2 linked regions of the Cricetulus griseus genome follow. The protein of the gene in region 1 interacts with the protein of each later gene in a pairwise test. Links are inferred from orthologs where the notes say so. Each region holds a gene or a part of one and is shown on either strand. Other genes may lie near its edges.

Region 1 (4,466 bases):
TGACTTCAAAACAGAAAAGCAAAAACAGCTACAGGTATGTAAGAAAACTCGGACATTATCTCTAAGAAGAGTGCCACAAATGCTCAGAAAGATGTCCAGCCTCTGACACAGAGGGGCCAGGCCCCAAGGACAGCCACAGCCCTGACTCCCTCCTCTTCTGAGTCTCCCCCGCCCTGACCCTCCCATGACTTTGGCCAGAGCTGAAAACACAGTGAGAGCAAACGGCGCAAAAAGGCGGCTGGCCCAAACTGGTCCAACCTTCTGGACTGGTCAGAAGGCTATCCTGGCTTTAGCTGCAGCAGTATCTGCAGCAGTATGCTCAGCCTGTCCCTGCCTGCCTCTACTCGCCCACACAACCTTACAACATGCTCAACAGCTGCCACATAAAACCAAACTACTACCTGCCCCCACATGACATCTTTGGCCAGACTTAACCAACTACCATAAACAGCCTTCTGCCAGCAGCCCTCCTGCCACCAGTCTCCAGCAGGAAATGAGCCTGGCTGAGATCCTCCAGGACAGCCGACCTTCAGGCCCCAAGCCAGCTCCTGACCTGGCCTTAGGACCTGTGCCACTCACAAACCAAACCCGTCCCACAACGACAGAGGGCACCAAAAATAAGCAGAGCAACAGACTTACACTGCCATCCTGTGGCAGCATGTGGCACTGTCTGAGGCCACAGGCCATGCTGGACTCACCTGCAAGAGTCAACCTTCAACCCATGCCACGCAAGTCACAGAGCACTGAGCGGAAAAGATACCTCCAATGAACCCACTACTACTATTCATAGGCCTCTTGGCCAGCAGGAGGACAACATGGGGAGAACAGATGGGGAGCAGAGAAGACAGCACATAACCTCAGAAACATACAAGTGACTTTCCTTTTCCATGGGATTGAGTACAGGGTTGGCTCTTGGTCTGTTCACCCCACCACCCTAGAATGCTGGCCAACCTCTGTTTTTAAGTGGTCTGCAACAAGGTGAGGCCTGGGGGCCCATCACACAGATAGCTGCCTCTCCTCACCACAAGTATCCCACCTATCAAGGAACAAGGCAGAAGAGAGCCTGGCTGGAAGTCAGACTGGAAGCTCCCCATCTGGGCTGACTGACAGGGCAAAGTGATGTGCTCTTGTAGACCATCAACTTAGAAGGTTCAACACAGAAATTCAAGATTCGTATCAAAAAAGAGAAAGGGCTAGGAAGTCAGGCAGTGGCGCCTAGCACTCAGGAAGTAGAGGCAAAAGGATCAGGAGTTTTAGGCCAACCTGGAATACATAACAAGATTTTCAAAAACAAAGAGGAAGCATGGGGACTGGGATGTGACATAGCTCAGTGGTAGAGCAGTTGCCTAGTATGTATGGGCTCTGGGTCGGATTCCCAGCATTTAAAAGAGGAAAAAAATATCACTCGTAAAGTGTCCCTTTTTATTGGGTAATGCAGACTCTGGTCCTCTGGGAAAGCAGGGTTTGAAAGTGAGGCGACAGAGGTGGTCAAGTCCACACTCAAAGCACTTAGCAATGTGCAGGGAGATGAAGGGAACAAGGCATATAAACCCCAAGCCACAAACCAGCAATCTTAGTACGATCCCTGAGAAGTGTGTCCCAGGCATGTGTGCCATGTAGCCTATGCCTGGAACAATGGGTAGACACAGACAGGCTGGAAACCAGCCAGCGCCGGAGCCAGAGCCCCTACAGTTGCCACTGGCAAGGGGCCAGAAGATGGAGGGCATAACATCCTTGCTTAGCCCTGTACCAAACACGCACACGCACACAAATGTGTGCACACACAATGGTGTGTGTGCACAGGGCTGCCAGTACTCACCCAGACCAGGCAGCCTGAGAGAAGGCTAGAAAGAGATGAGGCTTTTAGGCCTCTGTTAGCACACTCTGGCCACCACTCACCGAGGAGGCGCTGCTACAAGACCTGGTACGGCGTTTGTGACAGTGGTGGGCATGCTTGCGGGTACGGTATGGCCCTCTCTCTCGTGACCGTCTCCGATGTCGAGAACGTGAAGACCCATAGCAGTCCTCTCCAAAGGATGGGCTCCGCTCTTCACACCTATACGTATCGCTGTCACGGTGTTCCCGGTATCTCCGAGGGTAGGGTAGGCGGTCATGGCTGCCAAGAGGAAGTGAGGACACGAGTCAAGAAGGGTCCTACCAGCCAGGTTCCTGCCAGCAGGCAAGAGGCCTTTGGCAGGGCCCCTGCAAAGGCTCTTAAGGGAAAGCCTGTCAGAGCTGAAGCATCCAAGCTGAGGGAAGTAAACAAAAGAGAAGGTGCAAAGGTACCAAGCTTATTCTCCAGAGCCTTGGGTAATGACAGTGCTCCTCCATGCCACAAGGAGTGAGGAAGCAAAAAAAAAAAAGTGAGCAAGCATAGAGAAAGGCCTCCAACAGTGACAGAGTTGACTAGCCTGGTACAACTGTTACTTTGGTCTGGGGACTCAGACAGGACTTGGGACCAGTCTTTCTAAGGCTAGGACAATGTTCCTACTTCCCACTGAGGAAGGCTCATAGGTGGGGTACTGGTGTAGAAAATACAGAGGGAGAAGAAGGACCACTTTGTGACAAAGAAAGGGTGACAAGGAGGGTAGCTTCTGCTGAGGCCAGGAAATAGGCAAGGATCCACAGGCAGCTGGGCAGAAGCAGTCATCTAAAAGAACCTAAAGCCACCAGAGCCTCTGGGCCATCTGCTCATCTCGCTGAGGAAACAAGTGTTTCCTTCCTTCCAAACCAGCTCCCACTCACCTTCTGGACCGTGATCTCCTTGGGGGAGGCTCCCTTCGGGATGGGTATCGTAGTCGACCTTCATGCTCCCGACTGTAAGACCGCCTCCTCTTCCAGCGGTAGCTCAGGTATGGGTCTGGCTCTGGGGAACGGTATCGCTTACAGTGATGCATCTAGGCCACAAGAAAGAGAAAGCCCTGCTCAACACACAGCTCACTGCTTCCAGCCACAGGGCTGCCTGGTGCAGCCAGGTGCTCCTGAAGAAGAGGCCCATTGTTCTATTTAGGGGCAACCCCCCTACCCCCGGGTTTATGAAGTAAAGAAGAACTCTGAGGTCACAGTAACAGAACAGCAGACAATGGGTGACTCCATCCTTTTGCCAGTGAATAAACAAACAGGTGCCTCCCCAGCATGGCCTAGGGGCCTGAACACTTGAACTGGATAAGTCAGGGCCCAGATACAGAAGTAGATCTCTTAGGGGATTCTGAGCACTGTCACAGAGATGCTAGGACAGGGGGAAAGAAGAGCTTTGCTCAATGTCTTCCTGCCTATGGAATCCTATAACCTAAATGTTCTAGGAGCCTGAAACTAATGAACTGGTGGCATGGAACCAATGTACTTAGTGGTTTCAGAAACTGCAAGCTGCCTTGCTAAAGCATTGAACTGGACTCAACTCGAAGTTGTGAGAAGACACAGTAGAAAGGAGAACACTAAACCTTGAGCAAAGACACAATGTCTCATCAACATTCCCTACCTTCTACCAAGGTGTAGCCAAGTGGGCATAGGCCCAGAGGGCCTGCCCAGCCCTTGCTGGCCCATCCAGTCTCAGCCCAGGAAGGTGCCACAATCCTCAGAGAATCTAAGCTGCTTGCCTGAGGCACATTTTAGAGGCCCTCAGACCAACTAGAGTCCCATACCAGGTGTTTCAACTTTCAGCAACAGCATCATTGCCATCGGGTCTAGCTCCCCTGACCATCACTGCTTCGTGAGACTATCTCTGGAGGTGCCTAGAAGACGTGGCTGTAGGTCTACACGTGGAAGCAGAAGCAGGCTTTCGATTCACTACCCCTAGCCACTGAGGACTTATATCCAGTACAGGAGACTCCCAAGCTGGATCAGCAACCAGCTGAGGAAGATGGCTACATGAGGATGGTACCATTTTCACCCATATCCTGCCCCTTCACATTCTCCTCACCAGATGGCCAGGCAAGAGACCTTTGCTTGTTTGCTTTCCAAGCCAGCAATTGCTCACACCCAACCTCTAGTCTTGCACAGTCCCAGGCTTGCCTGGCCAAGCACCTTTTAAACAAATCCATCAAGGCTGCTTCACCTCACCAACACAATTCAAAAATGAAACAGCTACTTGTGTATGAGCAGGACAGGGAGGCCAATTCATCTAAACCACTGGGAGTCTCTGGGGACCCTAAGAAAGGCACTGCCTTCTATCTCCCCACTAGCAACCCTCCATCTGAAAAGTCTGGGCCACCCAGAAATCCTCAGAGATAAACACTACATAAGATCTGTAGATTTGTTGTTTTCACAATCATCTAAATAATCATTTTGTTTTTGTTTTTTCCCAATTATCTTACAGCAGGTGCTCAAGCTATGGCCTGAAAGCAGTATCTCATGTCTCACTAACTGACCCAAAAGACATCCTACTGACCAGAGCACATATCTTCCCTCAAGACAAGTGTGGTCCTGCCCATCCTCACCAGGCAGAAAAAGCACCCTATCTGGAGGAT
Region 2 (5,147 bases), about 69 Mb from region 1:
CATTTATTGCTTCCTTGTAACAACAACAACAACAAAAAAAGGTCTTTGATTTGGACGATTCAGCTCTATCGCCACCTGTTGTTAGTACCTGGGTACTACATGTGAATAGTTCCTTTATCTGCCTTCAGCAGTGGGTGGATTGGTCTCCTATTGCCAGGCTGGAAGCTAGTTGCTCTGATCTTAGAGTTGGTGACAAAGGGACCCATGGGGTCATGTATCAGTTACTTTTCTGGCAGCTGGGAGGGGACATCTGACAGAAGCAACGGAAGGGGGAAGGCTTGCTTGCTTGCTTGCTTTTAGTATAAAATGTTCTGTCTGCAGGCCAGAAGAGGGCACCAGTTCCCATTACAGATTGTTGTGAGTCACCATGTGGTTGCTGGGAACTCAGGATCTCTGGAAGAGCAGCCAGTGCTCTTAACCTCTGAGCCATCATTCCAGCCCCAAGGGAAGGCTTTCTTTTGGCTCACTGAGGGCACAGCCATCGTGCCCGGGGAACATGATGCTGAATTCTCCCTCCTCGGACCAGGAAATGGATTGGAAGTGGAACTGGGGTCAGGATTGGAGACAGGGTTGGGGTTACCACCCTCCAGGCTCACTTCCCAGTCACCCACTTCCTCTAGTGAGGCTCCCTCTCCTACAGGCTCCACACCCTCCCAAATCAGCTGGGACCAAGTGCTCAAACATATTTTACCTTCAACCCTAACAGATGAGAAGGATTCATGCAACGGTGGCACATTTTCTAACCCAGACCACCTTCCCGAGAATGCTGTCATGTGGGCGTGTGTACATCTCCATCTTGTCAGAAAATGGTCAGGTGGTGGGTATTTAAGGTCCCAGTAATCCATAAGTTCCTCAGAATTGTGGACAATGGAGGCACCTTAGCCTCCAACTCAGAAGTCCTGGGCTGTCAGACTTATTGAGTCCACCATTGGCAGCATGGCCACCACACATTCCTGTCCTTTTGTTTTCCCATCCATGTATCTGTCCATTCCTACATCCATCCATTTTTACATCTGTCTATACAACCTGACTTCCATCCATCCACCTAGGCATATATACATGTATCAGTTCATTGTCTGTCTGTCCACACATTCACACGCCCATCCATCCAGAAATGCATCAATCCGTTTCCCCATCTGTCCACCATCCTTACATCCATGCAAGCATGCATCCATCCATTTCCCCTCCTCCACATACACCCACACATCCATCCATACATCCTCACACACATACACAGATCTCCCACATCCATCCCTCTGCCCATACCTACATCAAGTGAGCACCCAGCTATCCACTTCCATCTATCTGTTCACTTTCTTCCCTGCCATTTATCCATCCACCCTTCATCCATCCATCCACCTGCTCACCTATACAAGCTCCACTTTAGAGCCAAGAGTCTAGAACATTTTATCCAAAGTAAATGAGATGAGAATGAAGTTCTAGATAGAGTATGCCCAGGGTGGAGGGCTCTTCTCTGTTGGGGGTTTTGGTGGTGACCCCAGAGGCTCATATGTTTTTGCATGCTTAGTCCCCAGTTGAATTGTTTGGGAAGGATTAGGAGGTGTGTCCTTGTCAGAGGACATCCTTGTTGCTGGGGATGGGATTTGAGGTTTCAAAAGCTCACACATGGCCCAGTGACTCTCTTCCTCTTGCCTATGGATCAGGATATAAAGCTCTTAGCTATTGCTCTGTGCTGTGCCTGTCTATTTCCTACCATGATGATAAAGGACTAACCCTCCGTGCCTGTAAACAAGCACCAATTAAATGCTTTCTTTTATAAGAGCTGCCTTGGTCATGATGTCTCTTCACAGCAACGAACAGTGACTAAGATGGGGTTTACGAGCCCCACTTTGGAAATCGTCTGTCATAGCCTCTGCCTGTGGTTCCCCAGTACTCCGGGAAAGTTTGGGGGCCCCCCTCCATCCCAGAGCACTCACACAGAGGATCAAAGGCTGGAAGTAGCTGCAAGAGTATACTCTGTCCTTGTACGGACAGTTGGATTTCAAGGATGTTCCCAAGCTTTTTTGGCTTATTATATTTCTCATGGTGTTTTAGCAGTTGTTCAATCCAGTGGATGCGTAGATGTTGATATGCTTTCTGATCCCCAAATGAATGGAAGCAATTGACGAAGAGAACAAGGGTACCATCAGAGTAGCCTCTTAGAACTGTTCCTCGGCCATAGGAGCCACCCTGCAAGGAATGAAGCATCAGGTGTGAGGTTTGGGATTTCTGTAGCTCTAGGCAGGGATATTTCTTATGTCCAGTGAAATCCCCAAATGTCACCACCATTTTAAAATCAGGTTGCCAGCACTAATTTGCATGGGGGTCAGTGTCTTGTATGCTAGCTCCAAACTGGAGGCAACTCAAAACTGCAATATGATAAACACTTCATACAGTGGAGTACCATACAAGAATGAAAAACAGGTGAGTTCTACAAGAGCGAGTTCCAGGACAGCCTCCAAAGCCACAGAGAAACCCTGTCTGGAAAAAAAAAACAAAAACAAAAAAACAAAAAAACAAAAAACAAAAAACCAACCCACCACCACCACCACCACCACCAACAACAACAACAAAAAATGGTTGTAGGAACAAAACTCTCACAAATGTGGAGTCAAAGATGACACACAATGAAGTGCACATGTGCATGGAACCAGTCCCCACCAATTTACTGAGGATCGATGCTAAGAACACTGTGTGCCTCACTGTTACAACACTCTGAAGAGGGGTCTAGGCTGACCCTCACTCTGCAGACCCGGACTCTGTGGTACAGAGAGATGAAGCAGCCTGCCAGAGTCATGTAGCCAGGCAGAAGATGACCTGGCTGTAGCTTGGGCCCCTGCACTGTCTGCCTTTGTGTCCTCAGAAGGAGAAAAGCCTTGTGAAGTGCCTGGTGTGGAGCAGTGCTCAGCACCACCCCCATGGCAGGGGCAGGGTTGGAGTGGGGGTATTGGGGGAGAGCAAACTCTCCTGGGATCCAAAGCCCTGGCCCCAAATCTGGGCCTCACCTTAGCCACTCTCACCACAGTGATCTCAGAGCTCAGCAGGAAGTTAGAGATGTCATCCACATCCTGGTCTATCAGCTTCAGACATTCTTCATTGGGTGTGAGGTTTGCCTGGATAAACTCTTCTAGCTTGTGCGCTGGCACTGAGGTTAAGTAAGACAACCCACCAGATAACTCTTCAGAGGATCCCCCAGATAACTCTTCAGACGATCCCCCAGCCAACCAGTTTCCCATAGTTGCTAGCTGGCTGTAGGTCCTGGGGATTCTGCCCTGATCTGGATAGAGGAAGTTGAGACCAAAATTGCCTGGCCTAGGAAATCGAAACCCAAGTGTCAGGAGTCACTGCCCAGCAGCTGCTGGGGGTGGGGGGAGCTTCTTGCTGGCCAGCCACTCCCAGGGACACCCCAGGTTAACCCTGAAACCTCCAGAGCCTCGGGGGACACCTCCCCAGAGGACAGATATGTGTATCCTTCAGTGAAGGTGGGGTTTAAATGAGTTTACCAGATCCAAGATAAAGATAAATAGGTGTTTTATTGGGGAACAACTTACACAGGTAAGAGTAAATTACTGCTGTACCTGCACCTTCCTGCTCCCGGAGATGCAGTCTCTGTGCTTCTGATGCTCTCCACTACCCAAGAGAGTGCCCACCGATCCACACCTGAAACCATGCCCAAAGGGTGTGGCCACTGGCAAGGCGAGATGCCACTACACTTCAGTGCAGGACTGACTTCTTGGTGTCTCTGTCTCCTCCATCTGTAAATCAGAGGAGCCTGTCTAGCTCACTAACCACTAAGTTAATTTGGTTTTATAGAAAGTGGAGGCTGTTCATGGAAACTGGCTCTTTTCTCCTGTTTCCAGAGACTGAGGCACTCAGTGCTAGGCTGAGTGTAGAGAAAGTCCAGAGAGGGACTCACATGCTCAAAGACACACAGCAAGGCAGGTGTCCTAGTAGATGTAGGCTTACTTTTCTGCCTTTGTGTGAACATAGTGCTCTGAGGAGTAGCTTCCGAACACACACACACACACACACACACACACACACACAGAGTAAATATTTAAAAATCAAATTAAAAACAAGGGAATTTTGTCAATACAAATTTAATACAATTACTTTGTGTGAGTTTTGAGACAGAGCCTTTCTATGTAGCCCAAACTGGCCTTGAACAGGTAATCCCCCTGCCTCAGCCTCTCATAGACTATTTGTAGCATCTTCCTTCAAGGTAGGATGGGATATTGTGTTTAGCTGTCCTATGTTGCAGATGTTTCCTGGAAAGCTCACTGGGAAAGGCACAGTGACTTTGTATTTGCCAGTCCCTTTGGCATCCACATGAGTGCCTGTGTCATCATAACAAAGCATTGGCTCCCATACAGGAACCCTGAAAGCAGAAGGACTCTTAAGTTCCTCTAAGTGAGCCAGAAAATGACTGCAGGGGACACTAGCAGCTCCCAGGGACCCTGCCTTGGCTTCCTGAGTGCTAGGGTTGCATATATATATATGCAACCCTAGCACTCAGGATATATATATATATATATATATATATATATATATATATATATATATATCCTCAACCAGCCCAAGCTATGCCCATGGGGACCTTCTCCCCAGGGCCATGGCCTGAATCAAGCTCAATGGATCCATATTGCCACTACCATGCTGGCTGCTGTCGTAGATGGAAGGGTTTAGGTCAGCAAGGCCTCTCTGCTGCCTAGATGGTCATGACCTCACTCCTCACTCGTCCAGCTCACAGTCACCCCAGTACTGGAGCCATCTGATAGGAGGGCCCAGAGTCTGTGTGGTGGGGACAGGGGCTGGGACTCTAGGTCAGTACTTCATCCGTTGCTGGGTTCCATGGAAAAATAGATCTCTGCTGGTCACATTTGTCTAGAGCAGTGTTTCTCAAGCTGTTTCTCCACCCCACTGGGGTCAAACAACCCTTTCACAGGGGTCTCCTAAGATGATCGCACAATACATATTTCCAAAGGTCTTAGGAATTGAGACACTGCTCTTTTGTCCATCTCCAGGTGGGCCCGCCCATGCCGATATGCCCACATATGAGTACCCAGAACTGTATTAAAGGGTCGAAGCATTCTGAAGGTTAAGGACCACCAGTCTAGAGCTCTGAGAATGATGGTGACCAGTAGCCA

Evidence for each region.
Region 2: the proteins of Clk3 (region 1) and Oas2 interact in binary tests that used the Homo sapiens proteins (3 or more experiments, as listed by UniProt). The two-hybrid records come from large-scale screens. The link is inferred for Cricetulus griseus from reciprocal best matches to the Homo sapiens genes CLK3 and OAS2.

The regions. Positions count from the first base shown.
Region 1 is NC_048597.1:169,395,613-169,400,078, forward strand, and holds part of Clk3 (dual specificity protein kinase CLK3), read right to left. Parts: intron 2,898-4,466; coding exon 2,746-2,897; intron 2,117-2,745; coding exon 1,900-2,116; intron 1-1,899. UniProt on the Homo sapiens protein: Dual specificity kinase acting on both serine/threonine and tyrosine-containing substrates. Phosphorylates serine- and arginine-rich (SR) proteins of the spliceosomal complex.
Region 2 is NC_048597.1:100,561,997-100,567,143, forward strand, and holds the start of Oas2 (2'-5'-oligoadenylate synthase 2), read right to left. Parts: upstream 3,311-5,147; 5' UTR 3,237-3,310; coding exon 3,006-3,236; intron 2,191-3,005; coding exon 1,938-2,190; intron 1-1,937.